Linked DNA regions of Mus musculus. The protein of the gene in region 1 interacts with the protein of each later gene in a biochemical or structural test. Links are inferred from orthologs where the notes say so. Each region holds a gene or a part of one and is shown on either strand. Other genes may lie near its edges.

Region 1 (3,646 bases):
TTCTAGCCTGTGATGATGAAATTTCCTCCATCAAAAGATCTGGTCACCATGAACTCAACTACCCCAGCACACCTCCCCACTGTGACAGACTAAAACTCTCTCCAACTATTAACCAGAATACACAGCTCTTCCCTTAAGCTGTTGCTGCCAAGGGCAAGGTGGCCGTAAGTAACGCAGGACCACGCTGCACTCCTGCAGCACAGCTCCTGGTAAGCTGACCTCACCTGGACAGAAGCTTCTCCCTCCTCCAGGTCAGGGCTGGGCCTCTCCACTGGGCTGTTCAGTGCAGGCCTCAGGCTATCCGACCGCTGAAAGAAAGCATGCAGTCATTCAGGGTGGGGTGACAAAGGGGCAGGTGACAGTTTTCGACACAGCTCACAGCCTGAAAGGTGAGACGAAGGATGTGGAGGCCCTCATGGAGTTCCATGTTTGAGAGTAGTTAGTAACTGCTCCATATTCAGCTTCCTGTTCAATAATAGTGATTGCACAACAAAAGCAAGGGCAAAGGTCAACTGCGCGGAGTAAACACTGTTCCCGGTTTTCATAACCTTCCTAAAGTGCTCTGAAGCAGGCATTGCAATTAAGTCTCCAGACTAGAGATGTTCTGGGTCCTCCCCACAGGCTTTATCGCTTAAGGTCTGAGTACCTTCATGTCTGCTGTCTGGTTTATGTGTTTCACTGACAGCCCTATCCAGCCATATGAGGCAACTCTGCCAGCTCCAAAGGCAGCTAACAATCAGGTCAGAGAGCTGAGACCCAAGGGACCATATAGCTAGCACCTTAGCCCAGCTGTCTCCAAAGGCTACACTCGTCAAAAGAGCTTCATCTTTTTGAATTGTATTGATATATTTCTGTTCACTTATAGGCTGTACACAGGAACTTTTGGTAGATGACTGTCTGGCCTTATATTACATTCCTCAGTATTACTGAAGGCTCCTCTCTTGCTTTTTCTGTGCCTCTCTCAGAGGCCGAGTGATGAGGCACAAACTCTGACCTTTTTAATGAAGTCCAAAGTCCAAGCCTCAGCTCCCTGAGAGATGTGAACTGTCACTAACACACCACATGATGTACAACCAGCCTTCTCTTGGAGTGCCAGTGCTCCATAAACCATAGCCCCATGTTCGCCCCTCTCTACTTCTACAAAGAATGTTTTACTGGACCACAGTCTTGCTCATCCACATCCTCACTGCCAATGGCCACTTTATTTGCAGCAGACTGTGGACCAAGCAGAGCCTAAATAGTCACTCTTTGCTCTTCACAAAAATAGATGCCAGCCTCTGACAGGAGCCAATGGCGTCCCGGTACAGACCTGCAGTGAGGGAAAGCTGATTTGGGGTATGTTTCTGCATAAAATGTACTTGGATTATCTGTATTTACCTTTGGTTAATCTGTTCTCATGAAAGATTTGAATGAAATGAAATTCATATAAACCCTTCCTCAAATTATAAATAATATTTAGGTGTTAGGACTAATTCTTTGTAAAAATAAAATACATTTGTTAGGCATAAAGCTCCAGTTTTACCTGCGTGGGGAAAGGTACTTGAATCCGTCCTTCTAAGATGTTATCTGTTGTTATCTCCACGGAGCGTGTCATCTGGAGGTCCTGGAGCACAAGGTGGTACGGGACCTGAGGGAACATCTCCTGAATCTGATGAGCCTAGAGAAACATGAAGGACACACAGCAAAGGTCACTCTCAGCAGATTTGAGGGTCAGTACGCACACTTGGCAGGCCCTGGACACAGAGGCTGACATCATTATCTTGAAAGCACAGGTAAAGGCCATTTTGGCTCAGCAGATCACCTGCACACTGCTTTCTTTTTATTGTTGTAGGGTACTAGACTTCTGGGATACCAGCAATTTCAAAGTAAAGAGCAGACAGAAATCTAGTAGTATCTCAAGAAAGGGTCAAGTCAGAGTATCTTCTGGCTTTAAAGATCTATTTGATGACTTTATGTGTGCCAGTATCTACCTACGTGTATCCTAAGCTAACAGGATCCTTCTAAAGTTCGATGTTCAGACACAGCATGTGTAGTATTCATATCCACTATGCCAAGGGAGAGCCAGACTGGGACTCCATTAGATGACATCTGGAAACAGGCACAGGGAGAGGGAAAGCAGAGCAATGTGGGGCTGGGCGTTCTGCTCAGGAGCTTGTCTAGCAGGCAGGAGGCCCTGGCTGGGGAGAAACTGACCTCAAAAGAACCTTGGACCCACAGAGAGGAGCAGCAGAGCCACTCTGACTCTTGTTAGATTAAGTCTACACAGCTGTGTGAGCTAAACTTGAGATTAACCAAAGCACATTTTTACTGCATACAAATAATAAGCGCAACTTTAAAAAATAGAATTAAAGAATGTAAGTTTCTATATGCAAAACGTAAAATATATTTTTTAATTTATAAACTTTTTTTTTTAAGATTTATTTATTTTGTGTATGAGTACACTGTAGCTATTTTCAGACAGACCAGAAGAGGGCATCAGATCCTATTATAGATGGTTGTGAGCCACCTTGTGGTTGCTGGGAATTGAACTCGGGACCTTTGGAAGAGCAGTCAGTGGTCTTAACACTGAGCCATCTCTCCAGCCCATCTTTTTAATTTATAAAAGTCAATTTTTAGCCAGGCATGGTGACATGCCACTCTCACTCTAGCACCCAGAGGCAGAGGCAGGAGGATCTATAAGTTCAATACCAACCTGGGTACATACTAGGATTATGAAAATATCTAGTACTGCCTCAGAACTACAATTTTCAAACAATGCTCTAGATCCATCACTGCACACACTTAGAGGTTTAGCCATGTGTGTACAGGACAAATACATAAATTTCCATCCATACTTCAAATTCATCCATACTTCCATTCAAGCACCTCAAAACTTGTGTGTGTGAACACATGCATGTGTTTTATACATATAAATATATTTTATAAATGCTTGCATTCTAGGTTTGTATTGTAGAAAAATCTCCATAATTTACAGAGCAAGAGAGAAAAGAGAGAGGAAGAAGCAGGAAAGACCACTGCCTTGGAGTACGACTGAATGTCAGTTTCCTTTTTTCTTTTTTTGTTTGTTTTGCTTTTTTCTTTTCTTTTTTTTTTTTTTTTTTTGGTTTTTCGAGACAGGGTTTCTCTGTATATCCCTGGCTGTCCTGGAACTCACTCTGTAGACCAGGCTGGCCTGGAACTCAGAAATCCGCCTGCCTCTGCCTCCCAAGTGCTGGGACTAAAGGTGTGTGCCACCACTGCCCAGCCTGGATGTCAGTTTCAAAGGAGCACAGCATCACAAACTGCACGTGATGGCTTGTGTCTCAGCACTGCAACTGAAAGAGCAGCTCAGGTGAAAACTGTCCAGAGCTTTGCTGAGTCACTTGGGAGAGACAATGGCAAGATGTTCAGTGCCCAGAGGGCCCAAGGCTCCGCATCACTGGAGACCCCCTCACAGCATGTGGACTGGAAGGAACATTTTATCCCAATCAAATCAAAGCAAAGTGGGAAGAGTCTCTACAAGCATTCTCCCCTCCTCACCTAGCTCTCCACCAATTGAGGAAAAGAAAAAGGGAAACAAAGCTGGATCCATTTTATTGAACTTTCTATCATAAATCTTTCTACCAGAAAATCCAGTCAGTTAAATACTAGATTTTAATTAAAAATG
Region 2 (4,149 bases), on another chromosome or scaffold:
AGGGAAAATTGGAAGAGTGGAATAGAAGGATATTGCCTTTAAAGGATCACAAATCTAAACATCAAGTCCTCAACATGAGTGTTGACACGTCAGAGAGCTGAGCATCTGTGCCAAACAGGATTCTCCAAAGACCAACAGCAAAGCCTTGGGGAAACTTATCTTGCTTCACGTCGAAGCCAAATAATGGTTTCTGAAATTCTACCTCAGTTTCTACTCAAGGGAATTAATGGAACTAAGCCAGTCTTGGTAACCACAAGAAGCAAGGTAGGGGGCTCAAGGAACACTCACTCACCTTCTGGTAAGCAAGAATCGTCCCCAAGAAAGGCAGAGGTTTTGGCCCAGGAATTCCCAACTTTTTAAAAATTCCATGTGAATGAGTTCCATATCTATGAAGCAAAAAAGAAAGCTAGTACATGGGATTGCATTTTGTCGTGGCTCACCAGTCATGGATACAGGCACCATAGAGTTCAAACAAAGGAGGCAACATGTAGCCAACAGCAATGACTATTTTTGGTCTTCACTTCTCTTGAATTCTCTGTGGGGCCCCCAAAGACCACAAAGGTTATCTTAAAAGGCAAGTAAAACATTTGTGCTCTAAATCCTAAAGTTAATCATTAATAAGCGCCTGTAGCTTGAGTTTGGGTGTCCATGTGAATTCTTATTTGCTGTTTCTTTCACTTGCTTTTATTTAGGAAACTGATTGGATGCAATTCATCTGTCCTTCTAGTGATCTCCAGAGGGATCCATGCCCCACAAGTGTATTTGAAAATTCTCTCCTGAGAGAAGAGGAATATTCTCCACTTCCTGCCAACTCATACCTGAAGGTATTCTATTTCATCATTGACCCATCCTCTTCCTTACTCATCTATACTAAGGGATTAGCATGGACTGACAAACGGGTATATCAAACACTGATAAAAAATTTAACAACCTAATAACCAAGTTTGTTTCAAAGCATACATGCAATCTATACACTGTATTTGTTTGTGCATTATGCTCACATTTCTGACACTCTTATAAACAGATGAAGTTATTGTAAAATTGTCACAAATATTGAAAGCAACAGATCCACTTTAACCTTTTGAAAGAAGGTCCTGGGATTATCGTAAATAAATTCTAGGGATGAATAAAAGGGAATGAAAGATTTCAGTTAATAGTAAAATATCATCAGATGGAAAAGGTGTTGTCATAATACCTTAAATACTTACTATTACTTTAAAGAATAAAACCAAGTTTGAATTTTTCATTTTCACATTATTGTGAGTGTGTACCTTTTCTTCAAGTCAAATGGTGACAGAAGTCAACTATGGTGTGTGTGTGTGTGTGTGTGTGTGTAAAAGAAGAGCATCTACTACCTACAGACTTACACACACACACACACACACACACACACACACACACACATACACACAATCACACACAGGGGTGATTAGAGCAGTGGTTCTCAACCTTCCTAGTGTTGTAACTCTTTAATACAGTTCCTCCTGTTGTTATGATCTACAACCATAAAATTATTTCATTGCTATTTCATAACTGTAATTTTGCTACTGTTATGAATCATGATGTAAATATCTAATATTCAGGATGCCTGATATGTGACTCTTGTGAAAGGGTCCATTGACCCTCAAAGGACTGAGACTTCACAAGTTGAGAACCACTGCCGTAGAATGAGCTGGGCGGGGTAGTCATCTATGCTTTTAATCTTGGAACTCAAGATAACCTTTCTCCTCCCCTCACTTGTACTACTACACAGGAGTCCATTCATTAGAAGGTAGTCCTGAGATGGGTGTTTTCGCTGATGCTCACCAGAGGAACTTAGAGAAAAATATTTAGCATCCTAACTGTTTCAAAGTTCCTGCCCTTTGAGGATGCCAGGAGATTTCATAGCAGGGAAGGAGGAACTCCTTATACTTATGCTAGGGTCTTTGACAGGAAATGGTGAAGGGAAAGAATCAAAGTCAGGTCTTCTTTGCTCCGAAGAGTCGTCATTTATGGGAGCTAGAGAGGTAGCTCAGTGGTTAAGAACACTTCTTGCTCTTCAGAGGACCAGGGTTCAATTCCCAGCATCCACATGGTGGCTCACAGCCATCTGTAACTCCAGTTCCAAGGGATACACCGTCTTTTGCTGACATCCATGGGCACCAAGCACTCATGTAGTACACATGCATGCATATATGCAGGCAAAACACTCACAAAAATAAAATGATCAAACGTAATATACTAGGGGCATTGTTAAAATAGTCCTAGAGGTGGGACAATGAAGCAGAATGTGTACATATAACAATACTCCACGTTTCCTGCATCAGAGAAAACAGGTGAAGACAACACAAAAGCTCTTCCCATCCCCACAATACCAACAATCCTGAGACCTTGAAGAAGAAGCCTTCCATCAAACACAGTGACCAGCTTCTTGTAACCTGCTTTACTGAGCCCTGGGTGGTTAATCTGGTGAAAAGGTGAGACTCAATTGGAGAATAACCCAGGTCTAACTGAGGTCACTCAAACCTCCTATCCACAAAAACTGGAGTTTAGTAGAAGAGGAATGTATACTTACTTACCCCATAGGAGGGATTTGCATAGGACCAAAAGCAATACCTTAACTCTTTGTACAGCCCACACTCAATGTCCCCTTCATATTCTCTTTGGATTTTCCAAGCCAGTAAAGGAAAGAATTATCTGACTTGCATCCCCCAAGTCCTGCTCACTAAGAAGAGGAGCCTGGGCAGTTTACTCACAAGTAGAGAAGGACCAGGCTGGTAGCCAGGAGCATCCAGGTTTCCATGGAAAAGTTTGGGATCAGGTCCATTGCTGTTTTCTTTAAACAAGTCTCTCTCCAAGTTGTACTCTCAATTTTGTGTGCTGCACCTTTCAGGGCTGAGCCTGCTGAGCTCCCTTCCCTGCCCAGCTGTTTGTGACTCAGGAAAGCCACCCTGAAGAACTTAAGTACAGGGAAAGAGGTGGGGCTGAAATTGCAGCCAATGAACAGACCTACAGTTCTGAGTCAAGTGTACTCTCCACCCTAGCAGTTGGCAAAGAATCATGGGTGTGCCCACTTGAATCTTTGAATTCATTTGGTAAGAAATATCGACCAAAACTGAGGCCAGTGTTATCATTATCACTGAGTACAAAGGTTATTGCTTCTTATCAGAAACTCAGGTGAAATCATTGGCATTCTATAGCATTTCTGTCCTAGTTCGCTTTCTGTCATTGTGGGAGAGAGAGAGAGAGAGAGAGAGAGAGAGAGAGAAACCAGAATGACCAAAAACAACTTGGGGAAAAGGTTCATTTTGTATTACAACTTAGAGTCCATCATGAAGGAAAGTTAGGACAGAAAGTCAAGGTACATATCTGAAGACAGCAACTGAAGCAGAGCCCACAGCTAACTAATGCTTCCTTCTTTCTCCTTATGGCTTGCTCAGCCTTCTTTCTTTTTTTCCTTTCCTTTCCTTTCCTTTCCTTTCCTTTCCTTTCCTTTCCTTTCCTTTTCTTTTTCTTTTCCTGGGACTAACTCAAGTGCTCTGGGAGGACAGAATGCTTTCTTAGCCACTGAGCCTTTCTCCAGCCTTTCAGGTTCCTTTCTTATCAAACCCAGAAGCACCTGCCTAGAGGTGACACTACCCACTGTGGTCTGGGCCCTCTCACATTAATCATTAATCAAAAATATTTCCCCACAGAGGTGCCTACAGGCCATTCTGGTGGAAGCAATTTCTGAACTGTGATTGCCTCTTCCTGGATATGACTAGGTTTGTGTCAACTTGAAAAAAGCTAAACAACCTTCTGTCCTTTTGTCCTAAGCTGCTTTAATTGCCAAGAACTTGAAATCCACCCAAATAAACACATGAAATGACCCAAAACAAGCTGATTCTTCAAAAAAGAGAGAGAGAGAGAGAGAGAGAGAGAGAGAGAGAGAAACCCTTAGGTAATCTGACAAAAAGAAAGAGGGGGAAGACACAAATTTTAAAAATTAGAGATGAAAAGGTATCATTATAACTGACTCCAAAGAAACCCAGAAGTTCATGAGGCTGCTGTGAAAAACTGTACTCAGGAAATCTGGATAATCCGAAAGAAATAGAAGGATTTCTAAATGCATGTCTTCCTCCAGATAGATTACAAACCATGAGATCCTAATCAAAATCTTCCCATCAAAGA
Region 3 (4,290 bases), about 410 kb from region 1:
AAAGAAAAGCACACATCAGCTTAGATTCGAACAAGTTTTTTTCCCCCCGCCACCACGGGAAGACCTTTTTTTTTTTTTTTTTAAGAAAAATTCTCATATATAAAACGTTTATTTAGGAAGTGCTTGACTTTAATCTCAAATATGCAAATAAATTTGGGAGGCAAATAACCCCCTAGCTCGTAAAAACTATGCCACACACTTTACTTCTTATTCACAGGGAAACTTCTTTCTGCTACTAAAAACACAAATTGTATTTCGTGCTTTGGCAGCAATGAACTCTAAAGCCAGAGAAAACTCAATTTACTTTTGGTCAGTCTTCTTCCATGCCACCCGATATTACCTGCTGCTAGAATCAAGAGTCCAACCCATATATTCTCCTCTATACCAGTGACTTTAAGGACACGGAGTCCATATGCCTTTATATAATTCTCATCTCTAAAATCAATTTTTAAATTTCTCCTAAGCCATATTTTTAAAAGTATGTCCTTAAAAGCAATGGCCTCAAATAATGGCTACCACCCCACAGGTCACCAGCCTGCACAACAGAATAACCCACTAAGCAAAACTTGGAATTAAGATGTTCCTTCCAAACAGCCTGAAATAAAAATTAAATTAAATTTTAAAAAAACCTGGGCTCATATCTAGACTCTCAGCACAAGGGTAACTGAGGCAGAAGTTTGAGGCCATCCCGGGATATGAATGAGCTGCAAGCAAATCTGGCTAGAGAGGCCCTATCTCAAAACGCTGCTCCCCAAAAGACCAGGAAAACTGTATCCACCTAGGCATGGTGGCACATGCCCACAAGCCTGGCACATGGTGAGGTAGAGGCAGAAAGAACAAGAGTTTATGGCCAGCCTCAGACTATTAGGAAGCCTTCATCTTCTTATCAACATCCATTAGGACTTTTGACACTACACCTAAAACACATATTGGATGCTGTGTTCCATGTTGTTTGGACTGCTTTACTGACAAATGCTGTGCACACCAATTTGCAAAATGCTGTTCTAAATGTGAAGCCAACCACCAGCAAATGGTAAAAACCAAACTGACCCTCTGTCCTCACCTGGAAGGCCAATTTGAAAATAAAATGTTAAGCAAATAACTATTATAAACTTTTATCATCACCCAATGATAAGTACTACTACAGAAAAAAAAAAAAAAAAAAAAAACCATGAACATGCCTTCTTCTTTAATTACTGAGAGACTCACACTATGTATAGCCCAGTCTGCAAGACATGCTCCTCCTGCTTTGGCCTCTCCAGTGACATATTACAGAAGCGCACCACTGCGTCCATTCCCGGTATTTTTGTAAGGTACAGATTTGTACACCCAGGAGACCTACTGGTATTTACCAGCTTAGGTCTTCAAATCCAAGGGGCCCAATGTTCCTCACCTGAGGAAAACAGGCCTCAAAACAGCTTTTACAAATGATGCAACCTGACCCGACAGGAGCATCATTTATGCACCTAACTGCCACCTCCCAACAAGAACACCTGGTTTCTTGAAAACAACCACGGAGATCCTACACACTGCCCCGACCAGTTCCAGGGGCTTAGACGCTTACACCCAAAGTGATAAAGTTCCTCGCCAATTCTAAAAGGAAAAGCCTTGTTTACTTTCCCGACAACTCGGAACAAAAACAAACTGAAACCCACGCGCCACTGCCGGTTGGAGCTCTAAGGCCACTGTTCAAAGTCCCCATCTGCAGCCACCCGATTGCCCTCTCCTGTCGGATCCAGAACTGTACTCGTGGACACTTACATAACATCAGAGAACAAAGTAAATACAGGAAGGTCCAGCGCACAGCCTCCGTCACGTGGCAGGGACCGGAGGGGTGGGCGGGGCTAGGGAGCTGTTGACAGATGTGTCAACCAAAGGGGGAGGGGGAGGGGTGGGGAACCCCACGGAACAAGAAAGTCTCCTAACTGACCCACGGTTGTCGTCAAATCAGACTCAGGGCTACTCCAGCTGCTGGCTTCCTTTCTCAGTCATCCTTCGCTAGAAAGTTAAGGGGGCTCCTCCCCGAGACTAAGTGCGGCGCGACAGGGAGGGGCGGTCAACGGAAGGCTGCAGGAGAAGAGCCATGTCTAGCCTATGGGCGTGGGACCTTCAGAAGTTGGTGACTGGGCACGCACCCCACCCTCTAGCCAATGGCCCAATCTGGCACATATACTGTCTGTCCTCGGTACACCCAGAAGTCTCGTTTGGCAACATTTACTTTTCTTATTTCTACCCATCAGATGCAAGCCGAACTGGGAACACCCAGTCAGTCACCTAGTAGTTTGTGGAGGGTCACTGGGACTCGGATGGGGAAATGACTCATTAAGGTCAAATTACTGTTTCCCTGGGAGGATGAGGAGAGGGTACAGGGACGTGGGGCAGATGTGTGACAGCCTTGGGAGTTAGGTGTAATGGGAGGTGAAGAGATGAGGGGCTAGAAGAGGGCAAGCGCGGACTGGTGGAGGCCCAGAAGAGATGACAAGCGCTAGGGCGAGCAGAGGGGCACAGGAGACGGTTGGGCAGGAAGGAGACTCGCGCCCTGTGGTGTGTGACAGGTGAGTTCAGGCAACCCTGCAGGCGTGGCACCCCGGGGTCCCACTCACCGGGCGCTCGGGGTAGACTCGGCTCAGGTGGGCCTTGAGGCGACTCACACTCCAACTGCGGTCGCCACTCAGCTCCAAGTCGCGGTGGCGCTGATTGGGACTCTTCACCAGCAGCGTGACCGGCTCGGGCTGTGGCTCGGGCTCCATGTCTGCGTCGCTGGCGGCTCGACTGCGCTCAGGGATGCCGAACGGGCGGCGACGCAGCCGTCTGAGACCACACAACGACACTTGGCGTCTTTGGGACACGCGCCCCCGTCTCGGGTACCTTTTATGGGCGCCCCGTGCCAGGGCTCCGCAGATAGCGCTCTCTGTGGCTGCCATCCATTGGCTGAGACAGAGGTCAGTGTCCAACGTGGCCCAATCAGCGCCCGGAGAAAGGCGGCGGAGAGGCGGGCTAAGCGCGGGGGTGCGGGCTGATGCAACCCGCCGTGGTTGCGTCATCCTGAGTCCCGACAGCGGCGCGGGAGCGGGTCTTCGGCGGCCATGTCAGGGTGCCCTCTGGGGCGCTGGTCCTGTTCAGGCTCCTTAGCGCGGGATGCGTGCGGTGCCTGAGCCTGGCGGCCTGCCTGACTCCCAAGATCAGCAGGCTCTGCAAATTGTGCCCTCACAAAGCGGCCCTCCGCCCTTTCTGACCCCAGGCGCCTGGGCATACGTCTGTCCGCTTGCATTTTCCCTGGTGGCTGCGCAGCCTGGCATCCAGGGAAGCCTTACGAACTAACCAGGCCTTAGAAGCGAAGAGAAACCAGGCCTGTGTTGCTCTGAGCTGAGAGGATGAAGGATTCGGGCACTTTCCAATGTGCCTGCAGCAAATTTAACGATGCATCAAGTGTGGAACATACCCCTTATAGTAATGGCACTAAGTGCCTCTTGATTGACAAACCCTCTAGGAGACACTGGAAAGGGTCATCATTTATGAACTAACAACATCTGCTGCTTTTAAATTGGGGTTGCGACAAGCACAGCAGTGGTCTCAGATACCTGAAATCTGACCAGAGGCAGTGCTCCAGTGTTTCCTCTGAGTTTGAAAAACAAAACTGGCATTGCTCCGGCCCATCTTTGTCCCAATCCTGTTGGGATACCTGGGTTTTCAGCCATGTCCAGAGCTTACAGAGGTCAGAGAGGTGATAGGAGAGTCCTGTTCGGGAGATGGTTATGTGAGTTTGTCACACAACCATAAGAAAGTGTCGTAAACTGGAGGCTCGAGCAACAGAAGTTTATTTTGAAGCTGTAGAGGCTGGAAGTCTGCGACCAGGGGTTAGGGCAGCATTGCTTTCTTTGGGGGCAGAATCTGTACCACTCTCCTAAGTTCTGCAGGTTTGCTAACTGTCCTTGGGACTTCTTAGCTTTGGGGAGTATTTTTCCAATCTCGAGCTTTCCGATCACATGGCATTCTCCGGGTGTGCACCTGTGTGCGTGCACATACACGGGTGTGAGTGTATCTGCATCATCTTTATGCGTATCTCTGTCCAGTCTCTCCCCTGCCCCCTTTATAAGGGTATCATTCGCATTGTCGTGGCTAAAGACCTCATCTTAACGATTATCTTTCACAAAGATATTTCTAAATGCCATCACATTCTGGGGCTGAGACGTCAGCGTCTCTCTGGAGGACACCCTGCACCTCACCGCAGCGGCATTTGCCAGTGGTCCACCAGGGACACGCCGCAGAACCTCAGCTGCTTTCCTTCCC

The links.
Region 2: of the proteins of Amfr (region 1) and Cyp3a13, one has a biochemical effect on the other in vitro, tested with the Homo sapiens proteins (4 studies listed by BioGRID). The link is inferred for Mus musculus from reciprocal best matches to the Homo sapiens genes AMFR and CYP3A4.
Region 3: of the proteins of Amfr (region 1) and Herpud1, one has a biochemical effect on the other in vitro, tested with the Homo sapiens proteins (6 studies listed by BioGRID and IntAct, with this or other methods). The link is inferred for Mus musculus from reciprocal best matches to the Homo sapiens genes AMFR and HERPUD1.

The regions. Positions count from the first base shown.
Region 1 is NC_000074.6:93,974,512-93,978,157, forward strand, and holds part of Amfr (E3 ubiquitin-protein ligase AMFR), read right to left. Parts: intron 1,658-3,646; coding exon 1,523-1,657; intron 309-1,522; coding exon 225-308; intron 1-224. UniProt on the Homo sapiens protein: E3 ubiquitin-protein ligase that mediates the polyubiquitination of lysine and cysteine residues on target proteins, such as CD3D, CYP3A4, CFTR, INSIG1, SOAT2/ACAT2 and APOB for proteasomal degradation.
Region 2 is NC_000071.6:137,918,707-137,922,855, forward strand, and holds the start of Cyp3a13 (cytochrome P450 3A13), read right to left. Parts: upstream 2,914-4,149; 5' UTR 2,807-2,913; coding exon 2,736-2,806; intron 387-2,735; coding exon 293-386; intron 1-292.
Region 3 is NC_000074.6:94,385,052-94,389,341, reverse strand, and holds the start of Herpud1 (homocysteine-responsive endoplasmic reticulum-resident ubiquitin-like domain member 1 protein), read right to left. Parts: upstream 2,914-4,290; 5' UTR 2,751-2,913; coding exon 2,604-2,750; intron 1-2,603. UniProt on the Homo sapiens protein: Component of the endoplasmic reticulum quality control (ERQC) system also called ER-associated degradation (ERAD) involved in ubiquitin-dependent degradation of misfolded endoplasmic reticulum proteins.